Linked DNA regions of Kluyveromyces lactis. The protein of the gene in region 1 interacts with the protein of each later gene in a pairwise test. Links are inferred from orthologs where the notes say so. Each region holds a gene or a part of one and is shown in the gene's direction. Other genes may lie near its edges.

What was found.
Region 2: the proteins of SNM1 (region 1) and RPP1 interact in binary tests that used the Saccharomyces cerevisiae proteins (3 or more experiments, as listed by UniProt). The link is inferred for Kluyveromyces lactis from reciprocal best matches to the Saccharomyces cerevisiae genes SNM1 and RPP1.
Region 3: the proteins of SNM1 (region 1) and POP4 interact in binary tests that used the Saccharomyces cerevisiae proteins (3 or more experiments, as listed by UniProt). The link is inferred for Kluyveromyces lactis from reciprocal best matches to the Saccharomyces cerevisiae genes SNM1 and POP4.

Annotation. Positions count from the first base shown.
Region 1 is NC_006037.1:643,093-650,066, reverse strand, and holds SNM1 (Snm1p), read left to right. Parts: upstream 1-5,815; coding exon 5,816-6,388; downstream 6,389-6,974. Other genes in the region: MCH4 (Mch4p), read left to right, coding at 1-162; KLLA0_A07227g (60S ribosomal protein eL18), read left to right, coding at 579-690, 1,188-1,636; KLLA0_A07194g (40S ribosomal protein eS19), read left to right, coding at 2,519-2,538, 3,080-3,494; NAD-dependent histone deacetylase HST3, read left to right, coding at 4,054-5,433; PEX29 (Pex29p), read right to left, coding at 6,516-6,974.
Region 2 is NC_006039.1:1,283,597-1,290,779, forward strand, and holds RPP1 (RNA-binding RNA processing protein RPP1), read left to right. Parts: upstream 1-3,851; coding exon 3,852-4,709; downstream 4,710-7,183. Other genes in the region: SUM1 (Sum1p), read left to right, coding at 555-3,410; KLLA0_C14740g (uncharacterized protein), read left to right, coding at 5,230-5,790; GIC2 (Gic2p), read left to right, coding at 6,262-7,183. UniProt on the Saccharomyces cerevisiae protein: Component of ribonuclease P, a protein complex that generates mature tRNA molecules by cleaving their 5'-ends. Also a component of RNase MRP, which cleaves pre-rRNA sequences.
Region 3 is NC_006042.1:193,126-200,329, reverse strand, and holds POP4 (RNase P/RNase MRP complex subunit), read left to right. Parts: upstream 1-1,373; coding exon 1,374-2,198; downstream 2,199-7,204. Other genes in the region: AIM22 (putative lipoate--protein ligase), read right to left, coding at 1-1,106; SHG1 (Shg1p), read right to left, coding at 2,245-2,631; KLLA0_F02167g (uncharacterized protein), read left to right, coding at 2,885-4,768; cullin RTT101, read left to right, coding at 4,935-7,091; GTPase-activating protein RGD1, read right to left, coding at 7,140-7,204. UniProt on the Saccharomyces cerevisiae protein: Required for 5.8S rRNA and tRNA processing; associated with RNase MRP and RNase P.

The DNA of each region.
Region 1 (6,974 bases):
ACTCTTCCTGTTATGCCAATCTGCGGTGCTCTTATCGGCGATAGATCAATAGAAGGGTTCAACCATTTCATCATTTTTGTTTCTGTATTGATGTTGTGCGGAAGTATATGTTATGTGATTTCCAGGTACCTCTCTGTAGGAGCCAAGTTTGTAAAATTTTAGGTCTACTGGCAGCATAACTAAACGGAAACATATTCACACTTATATCCAATATATATATGTACATGATATAATTGACAGATTTTAACTGTTGATCGTCAGTCTGATGTGATGACACTGTCACTGGACAGAAGCCGAACACAGGTCACATGACTAACATATGTTTTCTGGGACTGTTTGAGAATGTACGGATGTAGTTTTTTCAAAACTAGAAAACCAACAATATATTACCTAAATAGGAATAAAGTTTTCAAAACTCATCAACTCACTGACATCGACAAATTTCACATCGTTACGAGTAGTGCATATATGAAGAAACCATCTTTCAATACAGTTAATCATACCATTAAGCATATGTTCTAATGTACTATTATCTCGATTAATTCTTGAAAGAACACACACAATAAGCAAGTCTCAAAATGGGTATTGATCACACTTCCAAGCAACACAAGAGATCCAGTCACAGAACTGCTCCAAAGTCCGACAACGTCTACTTGAAGTTGTTGGTCAAGCTATACGCTTTCTTGGCTCGTATGTCAGATAATTACATTTCCAACGATGGAATACGAAGGGAAAAAGAGAAGAAGGGTTCATACTCACTACGATCATACCAACTACGTTGATATGGTCGAAATTTTAACTATCTGTTTTCGAATGAAAACAAAATCAAACAGGGAAATCGAAAAGAGGTAGCGTCCGCTAAGTGCATAGCGTCGATGCACCTTGACATCAGAAGACCATGATGTCGTGGTTCTGCGAGTATTGGGTCAGTGGGAATTAGATCTATTGAAAGAGATAGATACTTTTTTACCCACTGAGATCAATGCGTTTCATTCCAACGTACCGAGATGGGATACCAATGTGTCCTTTCTGTACTTAGGAAACAAGTGAGCAGGATCTTTTTTTAAACAATTTTCCTTCAATACGGAGTCCGGGAATTACACTTTTGTCATTCCCGGATCTGTAGAATCTCGCCCTATTCGGTTCCAGTTTTACTAACAAAATTTACAACTGTAAATTCAATTAAGGTCGTACTGATGCTCCATTCAACAAGGTTATCTTGAAGTCTTTGTTCTTGTCCAAGATCAACAGACCACCAGTTTCTGTTTCCAGAATCTCTAGAGCCTTGAAGCAAGAAGGTGCTGCTCAAAAGACCATTGTCGTTGTTGGTACTGTTACCGATGACAACAGAATCTTTGAATTCCCAAAGACCACCGTTGCTGCTTTGAGATTCACTGCTGGTGCCAAGGCTAAGATCTTGAAGGCTGGTGGTGAAGCCATCACTTTGGATCAATTGGCTGTTAGAGCTCCAAAGGGTCAAAACACCTTGATCGTCAGAGGTCCAAGAGCTTCCAGAGAAGCTGCTAGACACTTCGGTTTCGGTCCTCACAAGGGTAAGGCTCCAAGAATCCAATCTACCGGTAGAAAGTTCGAAAGAGCTAGAGGTAGACGTAGATCTAGAGCCTTCAAGGTGTAAGCAAATCCGGAAATATGATTTCATATTAATTTTTCCTTTCTGTTTACTCGCATCTTGCATCCTCTTGCTTTCGAGGCAAAGGCTCTATTTCGTATTCTATAGCTAGCTTATTATTCCATAATAAAAAGATTGTTATAATACAAGATGGCCATTACCTTTTTTTGCAACGTTGCTACTACTAGTTAATATTATCTTCAAGTGTTTATGTCCGGGGAAGGTTCCCGTGTGTATAATAGAATAAAATTCATACGATTAATTACTTACGCTGAGCATGATCACCTGATTGTGCAAGTCTTCATCGGTATATCAGAGGTGAAGGTATCGTCAGTTTCTGATCTGTGTGAGAACGTACAGGACTGCTCTGTTCTTTTCCAGTTTCAACACCCATACACCGTATATTATAGACGCATGTAATTCTTGAAAATACTATTGTATACCTAAATAGGAAATTATCATCTCTGTCTCTTTCTCCATTACCGACTGGTCATCCCCAGGGACCGAAAGGTTCCTCCCTGGGGAAGAACGTCTCAGGACTGATGCCACACCTGGCGTAGGGCAACCGTCCGCCTATCCTTCCCGCCTATCCTTCCATCCACTGAGCCTAGCTTCTCCTCTTCCTAGCCTGAACTCCATTCATGGCAGTCCAGTGCCAGTTCCTCTCCCCGGCCCTGTCTGGCTCAGTCTCAGTGGCCGTCCTGGCTGCCAGCTTCACCAAAAATTTCCAAATGCTATTGTGATATTTGATACTGGTGAATAAGTTATTGAATTAGTTAACGATTGATATAGTGTAAATAAGGCTTATTCATAGTTAAAGATTAGATCTTTTAGTGTTTAGCTTTGGTTAGTTGTTTCGAGTAACGATATCCAGAAGTCAAGAACAAAATGCCAGGTGTTTCCGTTAGGTACGTGAACGAATTATACATGAATTACAACGGGAGATTAGAGATTTGAATACGGATGGGACGATGCAATAAGAGCAAACCATGAAAACGACATAGGATATAGAAACTTGTACTAGATGTACCCGATATGACAAGACGTGGAAAGAATGTATTTACAATTTAACTGAGGAATATTGAGTACTGAGAGGCATCGACCAATTAACGAAACGAATAATGTTGCGTAAGAATATAAAGAGGCAGAATATTGTACAGTAATCAGAAATACTAGATTAGCATTGGGCATAGTTTTCATGGAAAACTATTTGATGTGGGATGTTCACAGTTAGAGCGAGATATGTCATGACATCACAAATTCTGAGACGATACTACCAATTCCCAATGTGACCCAAGTACTGCAGAAAATGACGAAAAAACTATTACTTAAAACTACAGCTGTTCCCTGATGACAGACCAACGTTGAAATCAATATCTATCCCCGAATTTAAACCGTTTTTTGAACCATTTTTACTAACAATTCATTCGCATGAATATTTACTTATAGAGACGTTCCAGCTCAAGATTTCATCAACAACTACGCTTCTTTCTTGCAAAGACAAGGTAAGTTGGAAGTTCCAGGTTACGTTGACATCGTCAAGACTTCCGCTGGTAATGAATTGCCACCACAAGACTCCGAAGGTTGGTTCTACAAGAGAGCTGCCTCTGTCGCCAGACACATCTACTTGAGAAAGCAAGTCGGTGTCGGTAAGTTGAACAAGTTGTACGGTGGTGCCAAGAACAGAGGTGTCAGACCACACAAGCACGTCGACGCTTCCGGTTCCATCAACAGAAAGGTTTTGCAATCCTTGGAAAAGTTGGGTGTCGTCGAAATCTCTCCAAAGGGTGGTAGAAGAATCTCTGACAACGGTTTGAGAGATTTGGACCGTATCGCCGCTGCCACTTTGGAAGACGAAGAATAAACTTGGTCAGTTTGTTAAACTTAATAATAAAAATATTATCTTCTTTTATATCATTATTTTACCTTTACAAATGACCAATCTTTAAATACACCCATATATATCTCTGTATAACATACGAATATAATATATCATCGTGCAAAAAACAAATCAACAAGGGCCCTTTGAAACGACTATCACAGCCTTGCCAACATTTCCTAGCTCTCAGCTATTGTTCCTCATCTCCATCAATATTGGTCTCTTTCCTGATTTGGAAATTTGTAAACTAAACATCTCTGTCACTTTAAAGCTTTTTTAAGGTTTTCAACGATTTATAACTTTGACATTCTTGCCAAAGACAAACTAGACACTGGGAGGTTTCTCGTAACCGACAAAGACTCGGTGTGCAGACGACCAGCGACACCTATAAATCAGCTGGCACCGGTCTCAAGAAATATTCTTTACATTTCGAACTAAGTGTCAGGAGAAGAACAGAAAACTGGTTATATTTTTTGATTCTAATCGGTTTTAACCCAGGAGTGAAACTAACGGTTATCTATCTATCCAGAATATATCATTCGACATGTCTGCTATAGTGCTCAGTCCGAGCAAGAATCTGAAAATGGAAGAGAATGATGCTGGAGTTTCATCTTCTCAGGAATCTGAAGGATGTTGTAGTCAAAGTTCAAGGAAAGTCACACTGGGGTCCATGATCCAAACGGAAAGAGTAAAGCATTTGTCTTTATCAGAGTATCGAGAGACCAATGAAAATAGCGAGTTGATTTCACAAATTAACCGTGTGATACATAGATCTAGGAAATGTGCTGTACTTACAGGAGCTGGAATATCCTGTAATGCGGGAATACCAGATTTTAGGTCATTTGAAGGTCTTTATAGGATGGTTAAAGAACAATACCCTGATGTGAATATCAGGTCAGGACAGGATATGTTTGATATATCGCTATTTCGAGAAGAAGAGAAAATCAGTGTTTTTGCTTCATTCATGGAGAATCTATATTCACACACAATTCAAGCCAAACCAACAAAGACGCACGAATTTATAGCACATTTAAAGAACAGGGGCAAACTTTTACGTTGTTACACACAAAATATTGATGGGTTAGAAGAAATGTTAGGATTACAGATGTCAAAATCTAGGGATGCAGATCAATCATTCTCCATCCAATGGAAAAATTTGGATGTTGTACAATTACATGGAGATTTGACAACACTCTCATGCACACAGTGTTTCAAAGTCTTCTCATGGTCAAGGCATTGGAAACGTTGTTTGAAGAACGGAGAACTTCCAGTGTGTCCAAAGTGTCTCGAAAAGAATAACAGAAGATCTATCGAGGGTAAAAGATGTTTGGGTCATTCGGGTATGCTACGTCCTAACATAGTTCTTTACGGCGAGAACCACCCAAACGCAGATTTTATTACACAGGGATTGAACATGGATATCAACAGAGGGAAACCTGATTTGTTTTTGATCATGGGAACAAGTTTAAAAGTTGATGGTGTCAAAAGATTGGTGAAAACAATTAGCAAACAAGTTCATGATCGTGGTGGTTTAGTAATACTAATTAATAAGACAAGCATAGGTGATTGTAACTGGCATGGGATTATAGACTACCAAATAGAATCTGATTGCGACGAATGGGTCACGGAATTAAAGAAACATATGAGCGACTTTTTCCTATCGCAGCAACAACTAGAAAAGGTTAGACAAATGAAAAGAGAGGCTAGTGAGTTAAGGAAAAGGCAAAGGGAAGAAAAACAACTGCTTTCACAGTCTTCTCAATCACCAACTACTCCTCCGAATAGTCCGAAGAAAAGAAAGACGGCAACTTTACCCAACGAAAAATCGATACCCAAACTCAAGAAGACAAAATCGCTATGTATGCTACCTTCTCCAGAAGAAATGTTTAGCATGTCACCAAGAACTACAAGCTCTGTATCCTAATGTCAGCAGGATACGAGACCCTTTCTTATATTCGCATTACCTGACCGATATGAAATGAAACGAAACAAAATAGTATAGTTACGATAAGCTTTTTTATATTCAATCTAAAATCATAGAGTACTAGATAAAAACTCTCCAAATACCCCCTTAGCATAGAGTGTATAAATAACCCTATCAAGTAACGAATAATACATCACGAGCAAGGTGAACAGCTTTGCCTCAGCTTGTGCCAGTTTCACTTCCCTTTAAGTAATCAGAATTAAAGTGAAAAATTACGAAAGATGATCTCATCTCATCGCATGTACAAGATGCGGATAAAGGACATATTAAATAAGAGGGCAAGCGTTCAGCGACACTTCAGGGTGGCATTTAAACTATTGAAATGAGTGGCAGAAGGGATAGGGAAAAATTCATGGATCGGACCATGGCCCATAAATACAATATGATACATCATGTGCAGCGATTGGGAGAACCACAATTGTCCGGATTATACTTGAAGAATTTCTACAATACAGCAAAGAGATATAGACTGCCGTTACCCGAGAGCATCCGTGCTGATAATGTCAAGTTCTGTGGGAACTGTGGGTGTGTAAGGATAGCCGGATATAACCTTACAATGAAATTGCTGAGAGAAACTGACGAGAACGGGGTAGTAACTCGGAATTTGAGATATCAATGTGGCCATTGCCAGAGCGAATATAACATCGAGGTAGATAAAACGGAGCCCAAAAAAGATGCTTCCAGTAAGGAGCCATCTCCCAAAGTCGATATCCAATGGCCGAGACAATCGTCTCCCGAAGTCAATGATGATAAGATCAAGAAAAATACCACTGCGAAGGAGAGAGCTAAGAAAAGGAAACAGTCAACGTTATCCAACTTATTGGCAAGTAAGAAGGAGAAAGAGGAATCAAAGAAGAAAAATGTATCATTAAGTCTTATGGATTTCATGAAATAACTATAAACAGAAAAGAGAGTCTACACTTAAAATGTTAGTTGTAAAAATTAGAGCTAGGAAGACGGTTTTTCTGTCGATATACAACGATCAAAGAAAAATAATCTCATAAGAGAGTTCGTAATTGTTATCAGCCTGTCAAACTAAGGAGATCAGTTAAGCTCCTCACAGCTTTCGATTTTTCAGCAGAATTTGTTTGTTGAGCTACGGAGTTTGTGCTTCCCTGACTGATAAAGCTGGATATGGATGCAGTCGAAGGGGACTTAACTATGCCGTTATCATTATTTGCATCATTAGTCTTTGTAGCGTTTTTATCGGCACCAGAGAATGATGTTTGTGTAATCGAAGCATAGCCATTGTATAAATTTCGATCTACTGATTCCATTTCATCATCGGTTTCGTTAACTTCATTACTTTTTGTGGTGCTGTTTCCACCATTCTTCACTGCAGCTGTAAAATGTTTCTGTCTGATGCAAGCTTTCACCCATCTTCGTCTCCTGTATTGGCCCCTTTCACCATTCAGCTCCACATCATATACCCATTTTGTTTCATTGTCAACATCAACGTACTGTATGAAACCTGCAGATAC
Region 2 (7,183 bases), on another chromosome or scaffold:
AAAAACCCACTTTAACAGCAGCAAAATAAGGTACGACATTATTTTGCGACTTTCACTTGCAATATATTAGGTTTATATACCTGAACATGTATGTTTATATATTTAAGATTATCCAAAAATTGCCGCAAAGATCATCCATATCTCGAGAATCTCGTAAACGATACAAAAGTCCGCTCATCATATTGATAACCATTGCTCGCACATCAAAAGAAATCAAATTCAACTTTAACACATTCAGTATTCCGCCATCTTTTCCTTACAGTAATTTTTTTTTTTGGCAGCATTTTCTGAGTTTTTTTTCTACTTGATTATTATTGATTGTTTTTTTCCATTTGCACTAAGGTGAAAACGACGAAAATTGGAAAAGTGAAAGAAAAAAAAAAGCGAAATTGAAATTCAATAAATAGTTAAACATCGTTATTGTCGAGAAACAGAACGACAGTGGTGCTTTACAGGGTACTAGTGACTATTTAACGGGTGTAGATCGGATTGAATCTGTTGTTATAGGTTTTGAGTCAGAACAGACGAAACCTGCTTGCTGAATCAGAGACAGTATGGATTCTGATACTGCGATGACAGGCCATGACGATAATAATGGTGAAATTGGAATTGGTGAGAATGGTGTTTCCAGACAAGAGAAGGATAGTTCTGTAGTAGATAAAAAGGACAAGAATGGTATTTCTAGTGTGCAAGCGGGTTTAGAAAGTCAACGAGGTACAATTCGAGAGCTTGAGAAAAAAGTTTCTGAAATTGAGTCTATTTTACCTGAAACTGACGAAATAATTCAAAAGAGTATTGAGTCAGTTGTGGTGACTTTGAAGAACTTATCGCATAACCAGCAAGTTTTGGAAACGAAATTCGAGGACCTTTTAAAGAACCAGGTGAATTCAGATGCGGCCATAAACGATCTATCCGTGGAGATCATCAAGATCAACAGGTTGTTATCCGATAGGTTAACGATGTCCGCGACATCAGGTGCATCGTCAGGGACGATGGGAACTGCTGCGTATGGATCACCCGCATATATGTCATCTGCAAGCGTCTCTCCTCCTCATAGGGGACCTGGTAGACCACCTAAGAAGAACACTTCGATATTGTCCAATGGCGATAAAAAGGCGAAATTGCCATTCCCAAGCGATCATATATCAAAATCAAAACGTCTTTTCCTGGACCCAAGTAAAGAAAAGACGGAGTCCAACTCAGGTTATGATGCAGATGGGGTTGGCAACAGTCGATCTCGTAGTTCTGCTAACGTCAAGCAAGAGACTCCTCAGGAACCAAAGAAACGTAGAGGTAGACCTTCAAAGAAAAGCACATGGGAAGCTCAACTCACTTCTTCACAAAGAAAGACAAATGCTGCAGATAATGATACCAAGGAAAGGCAAAGCTCTAGCTCTAGACGCAAATCTCAAAGATTGAAAAGTGGTTCGCGCCAATATGATGAACAATCGGATCTTTCATCATCGTTTTCCGGTATGTCTGATAATGAAGGGCAAGATGATGAGGGCGATGTCACAGACGATCAGAAACAGTTGGCTAATGATATGCATGACTCTCGTTCCAGAAAACAGAAGGAGCTCGAAATGAAAAGAGATGAAAGAGAAAGGATGCTAGTCACCATGAAATATAGCGATCGTAACGTTACCAGGAATTTCATGGAACTCAACAAAGATCTTTTCATGGCCATGAAACAAGAAGAACGGAAGAAAAGAATGACAGCGGTGCCTTTCAGCGTTCCAGTACCGTTGGGTAAATATCAACTTTCAAGTAAACATTTGGAAGAGTTATCAAAAGTACCTTTCTCCCTGTCGCAAACAGCGGAGAATTCTTCTGGTGCTCAATCACCTTCGTCTAATCCTCCAGACTCTGCTCGCTCTGTGACACCACAAACAATTATATCAGCATATAACAATTTGGAACAACCAGGCAATGTAGGCTCAGTTTCTACGGCAAGTGCGGATGATGTTAACGGTCAAAAATCGTCGTTACTGAATTCTGAGCACAAGGATCTGAACGGCTCTGTGAAAAGAACATCTTCGGACATCGGTGATCGATCTCAAATGTCCAACGAAGCAGAGGGACCACGTAAGGTCAGAATCTTGTCTATCTTGAATGATGATGCATCTACTGGTGTAAAAACAGAAGAGAATGGCTCGGCTAGACCTCATCTGTTAGACATGCCAAATTCGACTCCTCAAGGATCTGCAGACGCATTACCAAGTTCTCAATTATCTGTTGATTCGACAGAAAACTCGCAGGATAACTTTTCCGTCACCACTTTACAATCTGGTGGTGAATCACCAAATAAGAAAAGGCATCTAACATTGCATGATCGTCGAAAGATGAGCAGGATGATTCCGATGTTACCAGAAAAGAAAGATAAAAGGGGAAGACCAAGCTCTAACAATCAATCCCAAGAAAATGCAGCGTCTTTGTTAATGTCATCCCCTGTGGAACTTTACTGCCGTGAAGGTTTTTTTTATAGAAAAGGTTCTACAATTCCAATCACAGCGGGAGAGTATTTGGATTTGAAGTTCAGACACAAAGAAGACGAATTGATTAAATTAACAATGCATGAAGAAGATTACGCCGAGTTAACAAGACAGGATAGAATCAACGCGTATTTCCTTAAACCAGACGTTGAGATTGAAACCTCAATGGCTTGTCAAGTTTTGTCCAATGTCATATTAACCGAGAGATACGTCAATTCATTAGAATATTTCCTGATGGAATTCCGTTGGGAGAATAGATTGGTAAGTTTAGGTCTAAAGCTAAGAGAATCTAAGAGAACTTGGCAAAGACGGAAAGCCTTATTTGCATTATTTGAGTTTTGGAGAGACAAGTCGAAAGATAAGAGAGGTTTCCACAATTATACATTGTTGCATGCAATCAAAGAAATGGAAAATTACAGAGTCTTCATCAATAGGTCGGTTTCATGGTTTTACAACCACATTACCCTTTTAAAAATGATTCTTTTTGATTTATGTGATAATACGAATACTCATTGGAGAGAATGGATGTTCGCCAGAGGCACTGAACTACCGCTTGTTGGTAAAAATGGCGTCGATGTCATGAATATTAATAGAGAAATCGATAATATTTTGGTTCTTGATTTCCTAGAAGATGGTAGCAAAAATTCAAACAAGAAATCAAGTTCTATTCCATACAAAGAAAACAGTGAAGGCCCTCTAGAACAGCCTTATGTTACGAATGATGTTCCCGCAGACAAGGGAACAAAGGAATTACACACTGAGCATGTCCAACAACAGTCAGAAACCCCAGTTCCGGAACTGGCTGGAAATAGAACTGAAGAAAATACAAACCATGCTACTGGGGCGGTAGCTGTAAATCAAGATCAGCACTTACCTTCTTTACCGAAAGATTCAGAAGATGTGAACTCTACGCAATGATATTTATGCACATAGATCATAATGGTTCCTTTTTGGGCGCTGTTTTTCATCAAACCTATTTTAACGGACATTTTATCACTTTATGGAACAAATAGTAAGGTATGTACTCTATAAATAAACTGACAATTATTCTATTTAGATAATATTGTTCTCATACTCAAAAACATTGTGACATGGCCGATTGGATGAAGTTTAAAGTTGTATTTTTCAACAGTTGGGCTTTCAAGTAAGGATTGTACTTCATAGTATGTTATAATATCTTCAAGTATAATTTTTTCGGAAAAGACATTACAATAATCTACCAAAAAAAAAATCTAGTAAATAATGAAACATGAGCATGAGATGAGGTATGCTGGACACTCAAATGGAAACAAAAGTTTCTGTTGAATCACTTGTAAATACTCCTTCCAAATTTGCAAAGCAAAATAGCTATTTGAAAGGATGTTAGTTGATTTAAACGTTCCTTGGCCACAGAAGGATTTTGCAACACCGCCTTCCACGAAGGAGATTAAAACGCTGCACAAGACTCTAGCGACATTGCATACACTAGGGTACACTCACATAGCTTTAAATTTCACAGTAAACCAACAGGATAAATTCCCAAAATCAATCAATGATATGAATCCTATCGATCTATCGCATTTTGATGAACTAGTGAAATCTACGGGATTAAAGCTATATACAAGAATCACAATTATTATAGATGACCTTTCAAAAGGCCAGCCGTTGACAAAGATATCGCAAGCTTTCGATATTGTGGCAGCCCTTCCAGTCAGTGAAAAGGCTGTTACTCTCGTAACGTCTAGCTTGGATGTTGATGTGCTATCATTTTACTACGACAAAAGGCTTCCTACACTTTTGAAACATCACATGATGGGGGGTTGCATTAAGAGAGGAGTCAAAGTAGAAATTGTTTATGCTAACGCTCTTCGAGATATCAGAACACGTAGGCAGTTCGTATCTAACGTGAAGAGTGTGATCAGAACTTGCAGGAACAGAGGAATCGTGGTCAGTAGTGGAGCAACCAGCCCACTAGAATGTCGTAATGTCATTGGAGTTACAAGCATTTTGAACTTTATTGGGCTTCCGAATGACAAATCTCGTAAATCCATGGGCGAGCTTGCTAGTTTGGTACTTCTAAATGGTAGATTAAGAAATAAGAGCTATAAGCAAGTCATTTGTATTGGTAACGAAGATGTAGTCAATGAAGATTTTACACAGAATTCATCGTTCAAAATAGTCAAAAGGAAAAACCCAGATACACTGGAAAGTGATGACTCGAAAAGAACAAAAAGCTGAATTACCATGAACTTAATTTTCATACTGCACTTCTACTGTTGAATCTCTCGAAGCATTCAATAGTACCGATAATACGATATATAATAGATTTTATATTTATATAAGGAAAATAGTACAATAAGCATTAAGCAAAAGATGGATACAAGGTAAATTTAGGAAATTATGGGTAAGAGTAATGATATCGGTGATTTCAATCCACTTTGAGTTCATCTTTAACATGTCCAATTTTACGTTTAGTTTCCAAAGTCAAACTTACTATCAAGTTCTAAACCCAAAGTTATTTTTCATTCTAATATCTGTAAAAAGAGCAGGTTACTGTTACCCGCAACACATACATGGTGTAAATCCGATCAAAAGCTCAGCGGCTATTGAAAAGAGTATAAAAGTATCCAGCTTGGAGACTTTACGATTTTCTTCTTCGAATCATAAACCGCCTTACATAGAAACGGTCTATTATATAAAAAACACAGACAGTACGTAAGGCAGTAACTTGGGAAAACAAGTGCCACACAAAGTTAAAATGGGCGAGGTGAAGAGTTACTTACGAAAATGGAGACGCTCTTCCATTCTTAAAAGAAGCAGTTTGAAGGATAAACGGAAAGAAAATTGGGAACAACGTATAGAGAAGTCCTTGAGCGAATGCGATGACATTAAAAACTTATTGGCTGGTCGTCCAACGACACCTGATATTGCAAGAACGAATAATAGTACATTCCTTTCCAAGCGCTCTAGGGCTTTTGTTACAGAACCGTTATCGAACCAAGAATTGGATAAAATCAAATATATGAATTTTGCAATGGAGAGAGATTATAGAGCAGGTACTAGGCCAGTGATACCGAGAATGGATTCAACCAACAGACGAAAATTGAGCGTAAATCTCACCCCGACATCGATTTCAGCAGATGACTCCGAGAATAATGCGATAGTGAAAGACTTTTCTGAGTTCATTGAAATTTCTTTCAATAGTTTGAGCATTTCCGATGAATACACACCCCAACCAAGCTTTTCCAAAGAGTCCGAGGAACCTAGAACCGCCAGTTCTAAGAGTCTAGAAAGTCTATGGAGTAAAAATGTGAAATAGTCGTAATTGGTAACCATGTTGGGTCAACTAATGACTTATCTAACCCACGAAAAAAAGCCGTAGAAACTTGAGAAAAAATAACGGCCGCCAAAAGAAAAAAAGAAGACATGAAACCCAAGAAAAAAGAAAAAACCGGATTGGCGATGGTGAATTAGAGAGGTTAGAAAACATTAATTTTCGATCAACGAAACGTATCTGCATTCCTGAAGAGGGTGCGAAAATGAAAAATCGTGTTTTTACCTAATATAGGAATTCCTAAATTAACTGAATCCAGTAGTAGTTAACCATAGATGCGAAAAATGTCAGAAAATTGTGAAACCTAGGAATGCATGAAACATTACCACTGTGGACGCGGCCGATATATGTATATATAAACGGATAAACATGATCCAGGGTACAAAGGCCATGATTTGAATCATCAGAAACCAGGCATTGCCGAATAAAACAACCAACAGATCTGGGCCAATACTTATGATGAACGTACCTCAGATCAAGTCGATCTGGCTCGATGAAGACGATGAAACAGAAAAATTATATGGTTTACAAGCTCACCAGCTTCTGGATTCTGACGATGATGATGAATTGGGCGTTGTAATGATCAATAGTGATAAACCTGTCTTAAGTAATAGGAAAAACATTAATCTTCCTCCATTGCCGCCAAATGCGTATGATAAACAATCTGGAAAGAAATCTTTCAAGAAGAAGAAGAACAGCCTCTTAAAACTGTTTCAAAATAAATCAAGTAAAGAAGAACCTCCTAAGTTAAAAATTTCTGTCCCATTTGGATTTAATCACATCTCACATGCAGATTCTAAGGCAGGATTTGAAATGCCTACTGCAGATTCACCACCACCATCTAACAGTCACTTACAGGATATACCGGAAAATACCAAATTTCCGACAAACTCAACAATCAATTCCCCAACGCAAATGACTAAAGCTTTCGTAACAGATGCAATTCCATATGCTAAACACCATCTGGTTTCTAGAGGGTCATCTACAAAACGTTCTTCGGTTGGATCCAGTACGTACTCGAACCAAAGAGTGACATCAACTTCAACAATGGCTACCTCCTTGCTAAACGATTCGCATATGCGTTCCATTTCAAAATTAACTACCCTAGAGAAGACACATTTGAAGCATAAATATTCTCAATCAGATGCCAGTGAAGTAGATGTCGATTTCCTAAAAAACTATCAGTTCCCAACTTTGCTAGAAGAACAATCAATCCTCCAGGTATCAACACCTGAAACGGGAGACAAGAAAATAGACAAATTCCAATGGGAAACACCAGTAAATTCTGCGGATCTTTTAGAGACTATGCTTTTGGATGACTTGAAATCAGTACCAAAAAAATCAATTACACCAAAGCACTCATTGAAAAGAAACTCTG
Region 3 (7,204 bases), on another chromosome or scaffold:
ACACCCTTCTCGACCTTTATTGTAACGTCATTACAAATTACCTCAAACCTTGGGCCTGACATAAATTTCCATTCTTTGCTCCGTAAGTTTTCGGAGATCTCTGTGATCTCGAGTAAAGAACTTGATTCATCACAATAAAACATAGGAATTTCAGAGTCATCAACCAGATTTCTGAACTGATCCGTAATCAAATTGCAAAAGTCATCAATTGACGATATTGCTTTTCCGCCAATGTTATCAACCTTAGATCTAACACTTTCGACACTATTACATGTCCATTCAACCCCAGGAATTACATCCGGTTTTAGTAAACCTTTGAATTGAGCCAGGTCTGAATCTATTAGCATTGTGCCGTGGTGATAAGCTTTTCCTTTAGCTATTTTGAAAGCACTACCACTTATCTTATAACCTTTATAGATCAAATCGCCTCTATCGTTCAACGTAATGTTCTCATTACTTAACCATTGTACAAGTTGCTGATTGAAGAACTCTCTGCGGAAACTTTCTCTCGACGTCAAATACGAATAGTTAACATTTCCTAAATCATGCACTACTGCACCTCCACCTGAACGTCTTCTTACAAAATTGTACCCTCTTGATGCGATATTTCTCATGTACGTTTCCTTCCATGGGTTTTGATTCTTACCGACAACGACACATTTATCATTGGTATAAAGCAGTATTCTTTCATTTCCCGTTTTGTTCTCAGTTAAAGGCGTATTACGAAACACATAGTCCTCTAAAGCTAGGTTGAAGTATGGGTTGGTAGATACACTTCTGATGACGAACCTTCCATTACTTTTTACCGCGTCTTCCAGCTCCGCTGGTGAAAGTACACCGACAGAATACAAGGAATTTAGCTCTTCATTTATTTCATCAACTTCAGAACGCTTGTTTGATTCAATATCTTTTGTAGTAAGAATGTTAGCTTTATCTGTTGGAGTGAAGAGCTCACGATAGATGTTGTTGAGCTCTTTGTATTTTTCATCTGTTTCATCCAGTTCAAATGGAATCTGATTATTTGCTGGAGTATATAGTCGTTTTGGAACGGATATACCACTTCTCAATAGCGTTGTCGCTACTCGATGCGTACATTTACTGATCATGGATGCTTCTCACCCATAGAGGTCCTCACAAATTGTTCAGCCCAACGAAATTTATATCTTCATCTTCACAACGTTGTGCATGGAAGTAAATCAAATATCGGAAGCTCATCGGGTAAAACTTGAAAAATTGAGATGAGATAAACTTGAAAGAAACATTCTGCCGAAGGGACAACAATCTTACCGGTTTTAAAGCTGGGTACAACCAGTATTCGGTAAGTGTTGCGTTTTAAAGCTGTTACTTCGCGAACGGATATACGGGCTTCCAAAATGGATCGTATTCAACCTTTTATAGAAGAGTGCTTATTCACTAAATGTTTTGATAATCCAAGGAAACCTATCAATGAGAATAGATTAACACAGACGTTGTTCTTGATGCCAACTGATGGAGGTCTGTCTACCAAGCTTAGAAAGAAGAGTAAGGCAAAACTTCTTCATTCAAGTAGTATGGGTGGATCTGCTGGGTTAAAACATCCAAATTACAAGGCAGTGAACAAGAATTCAAGAGTTTTGTTGAAGGAATATATAAACAAATGCAATAATGCATCCGCAAGTTGCAAAAAGTTAGCCAAGAGACTAAAAATTTCAGATAGAGACCAGCTACAAAGGGTCCTTGAAGAGAAACACAAAGATTTATTGGAGCAACTGCCGAATTTTGAAACTTTCTCCTCCATGTTCGAAGATATATGGTGTCCATACATGAAAGAATTGTTGAACATCCCAGATAATCACAAAGTTGGAAATCCATTACCTTTGAACTCTCAGCAAACTTTGATCAAGCTCTCTATGGCTGATTATAACGGGTGTAAGTTGAAGGTATCTAAATCCAAAAACAAGTCATTAACTGGGAAAAATGGTATTGTAATATGGGATGCTCAAAAGACATTCATAATCATAACGAAAGGCGGATTAGTCGATGAATTGAAAAGCATACCGAAGAAAGGAACAACTTTCGATTTCGAGATTCCAATCAATGAAGAAGAATCTTTAGCCTATACAATTCTTGGTGATAGATTTAAATATAGAAGTGTTGATAGAGCCGGTAGAAAATTTAAGAGTCGCCGTTGCGATGACCTATTATATTACATTAGTTAACGAAGTAAAATATATATGTAGCAGCCTTGCTACTTTATCTGTTCAATCAACTATCATTAGTTTTGGCTTCAAGGATAGTTCTTATCTTTTGTCTCGTCGTCGCATCGTCAAGTGAATCACTCAGAAGCTTCTCCACATCGATATTTGACGTGTTTAAACTCTTGAATCCGTCTTTAAATAATTGGCCCTCAAGAAGAGCAGTCGTGGTACCTCTGTTCTTGAAAATTAAAGACTCATCTTCATTTACCCTATCACGAACTAAATCCCTTACTCGGCTCTTTATGAATTCGTCCAAGCTAATATCACCCTCTACATTTTGAGATAGTATTTCATTCTTTAAACTGTCTAAATGACCCTCCTTCTTAAAAGTTTCCGCCAAATATTTGGCAGGATCTAAAGACTCTTCTTTCAAATCGTTACCATTACTATTCATGCCGTGTACTACCCTTAGGTGATTGTGAAACCATCAATACCAGACCAAGGTAGCAATTTCTTACACTGAATTGCAAAGAAAAGGTCTGCAAAATCGCCAAAATTTCCAGTTTTTTGGCCAAGACAAGATAGTTCAATAGTCAAACCTCCATTCAAGATGCACTTCAACAAAGAAGTGGCAGGAGCAATAGAGCTTCTTGTTATACGTTGAGCCCTGTGTATGACACCTGAAAGATATGAACTATTAACTTCCCATGAATATTCGAAACGGAAAAGAGCTAACATGGTTCACCTACGGTAATTTAGTGAATAAATCAGAGGATGAGTTAAAAGATGTGAATAAACGACTTACACGATGGATTGACCAACTAAGGTACTCGGATGCTAATGGATTGGACGACAATAAGAACCGTTTACTCGATGTCACAAGAGGTTTCTTACAAAGCTTTGACAATGAAATGCAGCATATGACTAACACTATTGAAAGTCCATTGACTATTGGGAGCTTGGCAAAACACATCCTAACAATAAAACTTCAACTAAGGAAAATACAGCCTCTTTTCTTACCTTTAGAGCGAGCACTACACAAACTCGGGTTAAATATACGACATTACTCACTTCTCGTACAATGGCTGGTCACCATTGTTGGATATAAATTATATTCTGAGTTGAACGATCTAATTAGAAGAGGGTTTGAAATTGAGGTTGAGACAAGATCCATATCGAATGACCAGTTTTATGAGGTTTGCAAGTTATTTTCAGACTTAGGATTTGATTCACATTATCATCATTTTTTGGATCCGATATCCCTACCTAAGAACAACGATGTTAATCCACGATTTATCTTATCTATTCTCGAGGGCTTGGTATTAACCTTCAAAACCCAATTGCAAGTACAGTCAGATATTAAGGACTTTGAAGCGGAAGCTTATACCTTCATGAATTATTTGCACAACGTGACTCTCCAAATATATCCCGAAGAAGTTTTTGCAGTGACTCGTGCCGGTTTTTTTGCTGTATTTGCTGACGTTGATTTCTACAAAGCTTCGATCTCACAGAAACTCGGTTCATCACAACCGCTCAATTCTCAGCGTATCAGCTATAATATATGTGGTTTACAAAGTGTTTTGACCGAAAAGGATATACTATCTGCTAACCTCGAAATTACTACGAAGTGGGTACAAGATTTGACTGAGGTTGGGCCTAATTACCACCGCCTCTTGATCCGAATGATGGATTTCATTCTTCAACAGCGCAAGCCTATAATGAGCCGCCAATACGCATTTGAATTGGACTCTAAAAATACTATTAAATTCATGAGACTGATGGTGAAACACATTCTTACTTATTTTCCAGGCACTACCAACATTGGAGATGTGTTGGGTAAAAAAGCATACAACATGACTGAAAAAGAAAGAAGATGGCTAACGAAAATAGGAGTATTCTTGAAGAACACTCGACAATTTCAACCATTTTCTGCTTCGTATTTTGAGCAATACGTTATAAAAGAAATCATTCGAGATAATCTAACCATAGATCTAGTCAAATCTATTTTAGTTGGCAAGAAACTAGAACTTGACGCTCCCCTCGCTCGCTTTTACATAGTAATGCAGCAGGATGCTGGGACACTAAATAATATTAACAGGATGTTCAGTCATTTGTCATTAAAGATAACGAGAAACAATAGGAAGAACGATATCATCTTACCAGCAAAAATATTTCCTAATATTTACTCAGAAAATTCGGCAAAACTTCCTTTTAATCTGCCAGGAAAATGGGTTAACAAACACGAACCACGGATTACAAGTGATGGTATTAATGTACACTTTTATGATCAACCGCATCTACATAGAGTCATCATGAAACCTACAATTTTTCAAAAAACCAACATATCCATAAACTTCAATTTATGTCATGCTGTCATTCTTGATACATTGTTCAATAAAAAACTAAGCTGGTCGCTAGATGAAATGATTAGTGCTCTTTCCGTTCGCAACCAAGCAATGTTCAGCCATTATTTATCATCCTTAGTCAAGCACGGACTCTTGATCAGGAAAGAAGATGGCATATTTGCACTTAATCTTGGATTCAAACCTAACAGTAAACTTCTGGTGAATAATATTTTCACAATACCATGAGCTCAGTATACCAAAACTTCTACTGTTACGTCATTGGCTGCTAGTTACGTAGCCAACACAATGTACTTCCTTTACCTGGCACGTGACTCGTATGTCTTTTTGATATAGTATTGGGCAAGTACGTAGGATCATATAACACTTAGTATTTCAATTGTTATGGGACAGTATGTATCGCATAAAGGTTCCACCCTCAACGTACAGTCAATGTGACATGCCGTTATTGGTTCCCGAACGAATCAAAAGCTCAAAAGTTCTGTACGATTCTCTGTTATCTGAGCTCGAACTGCTGCTTAGACAATATCAAATCCCAGGAGATGACCTTAAACACGATGAAAAGATATATTTCACTTTGCAAAAATTGATTAGATGTAAAGTACCGAGGCTTGCTAAGGCTTCCAGTAATTCAAGTCAATATGCTGCTGTCTTTAAGGACACGTTTGTTGAAGATCTCTGGTCACTTCTTAGCAAATTGATAAATGAACAGGTGGACGAGGAAGATTTCACGAATATAGAATGGTTAACAAACTTATGTGAGTTAGAAGATGCTTACAAAAAGATACAGGGCAAGGTGAACTCTTTGCAATATTACACCAAGGCTTTTCTCCGGAACCTTCCAAATAGTTTGGAAAATATCTCCTGCCGATCATTAGAAGGCTACGCAACGTTAGTCTTTTTCTCAAGAATAGCAAATCGATTGCACTCGCAACTACGACAAACTATCGAATCGTTTATAGTCGAAGCGTTAGAATCACGTACAACATCCCAGTTCAGTTTGGTCAAGAACATTATCAGGTACGATATTCCAATTGATAAATCGTCAGTGTTGGGGCTTTTTGAAGAAACCACTAATCGCATAATTAACTCCTTTACTTATAGTTCTGACCACTTCAAAAGAGTCGACAGTCTTCAAAAACAAATCATATACTACTGTTCCGAATATCAAATATTATGTCAAAATTTAAGCATCAATACTGTGGATATTCTTTTATTGAAGTTTAAATACTTCGAGGATTTCTTCGATAGATGTATGGATGATCAAATGACGATAATAACAATAATAGAAGAGCTAGGGGATATGATATATGCCTATTACCCGTGGCGAGGTGAGGAATATGATAACTTCGTAGTACGAGTTATATGTAAAATGCTTGACGAAGACTATTTGTCGTCCTTCATCTCCACCTATTCCATGTCAAGCGAATCTTTTGATTCTAATCGAAAGGCAATAATGAAGAATATGATTACATTGACTTTTAATGCAGACATAAAGAATATTGAAAAAGTTGACAGATGGTTGTGTAAGGTTTCTGAGGAAGGGCAATTTTCTGGGATTAAAGATCTGGTTAGATCATGCTGCATTTTTATGAACGACATCTTTCCGCCAGACTCAAAACAAGACGAGTTACTATGGAACATATATAAGAGAAAATATTTTCTACGGTCGGTACTAAAGTCATTGGGGGGTTCCGAGCAGCTGATTAAAACAAACGAGAGATTCGACCAACAGCTACTTTGCTGTGGGCTGTTGAAGTCAGTTCACATTCTTGAACTCCAGCAGCTAAACGACGAACTAATTGAATCATTGAGAATGAAGAGAGCTCCAAAGATAACTCCTGTCATTCTTAAACAATCTAACATCTCGGACTCGTTGGATTCATCCGAAATTTCAGGACTCATACTACCGGAACCATTAAATGGTATGGTGAATAAACAATGGGAGTACTACAAGGTTTTAGATAGGAATGATCACAAAACAATGTCACTCCAGTGTCAGCTAAATCTTCTGGAATTGAAAAGCCCCTTTAGACATGGAATTTCTTCTGAAATAGTGATACTTCACGTTAACCTACTTCAAGCATCAATATTTCACTTATTTAATAACAGTGCTCGTCTTTCACTTGAACAAATAAAAAACACTTTGACAGAAACAAAGCACAATATACCTCAGATTGACAGCAATATGGAAATGTTTTTACAAATGAACATGTTTAAAAAGGATTCTGAGGACTGTTTTTATCTGAATACTAAATACAAACCCAAAAAGGAAGCTCTTAATGATGGTAAATTGACACTGTACCATCTTCCTAAAATATCGCCAAAAATTATGGAAAACGATAAGGCAGATAATAGATGGTTCACTGAAATTGTCTGTGCATGCATTATCAGGACGTTGAAACAAAGAAGAAAGTGTACAAAGACAAAACTTTTTGAATATGTCGCTTCTGCTTTCCCGGGTATCAGCCGCGGAGAATTCAAAGACGCGCTTGGGAGATGCGGCGAATACTATACATCGGAAAATGGTAACGTACAATACTTATTATAGAATTTACCTTAGTTTTGATATTTAAATGATTTCTTTTTATTAGTACATTTACTCAGGTTCAAATGCTTGATCCGCCACATCGAACAAGAGCTCCATCGCACTTATTTGGTAGT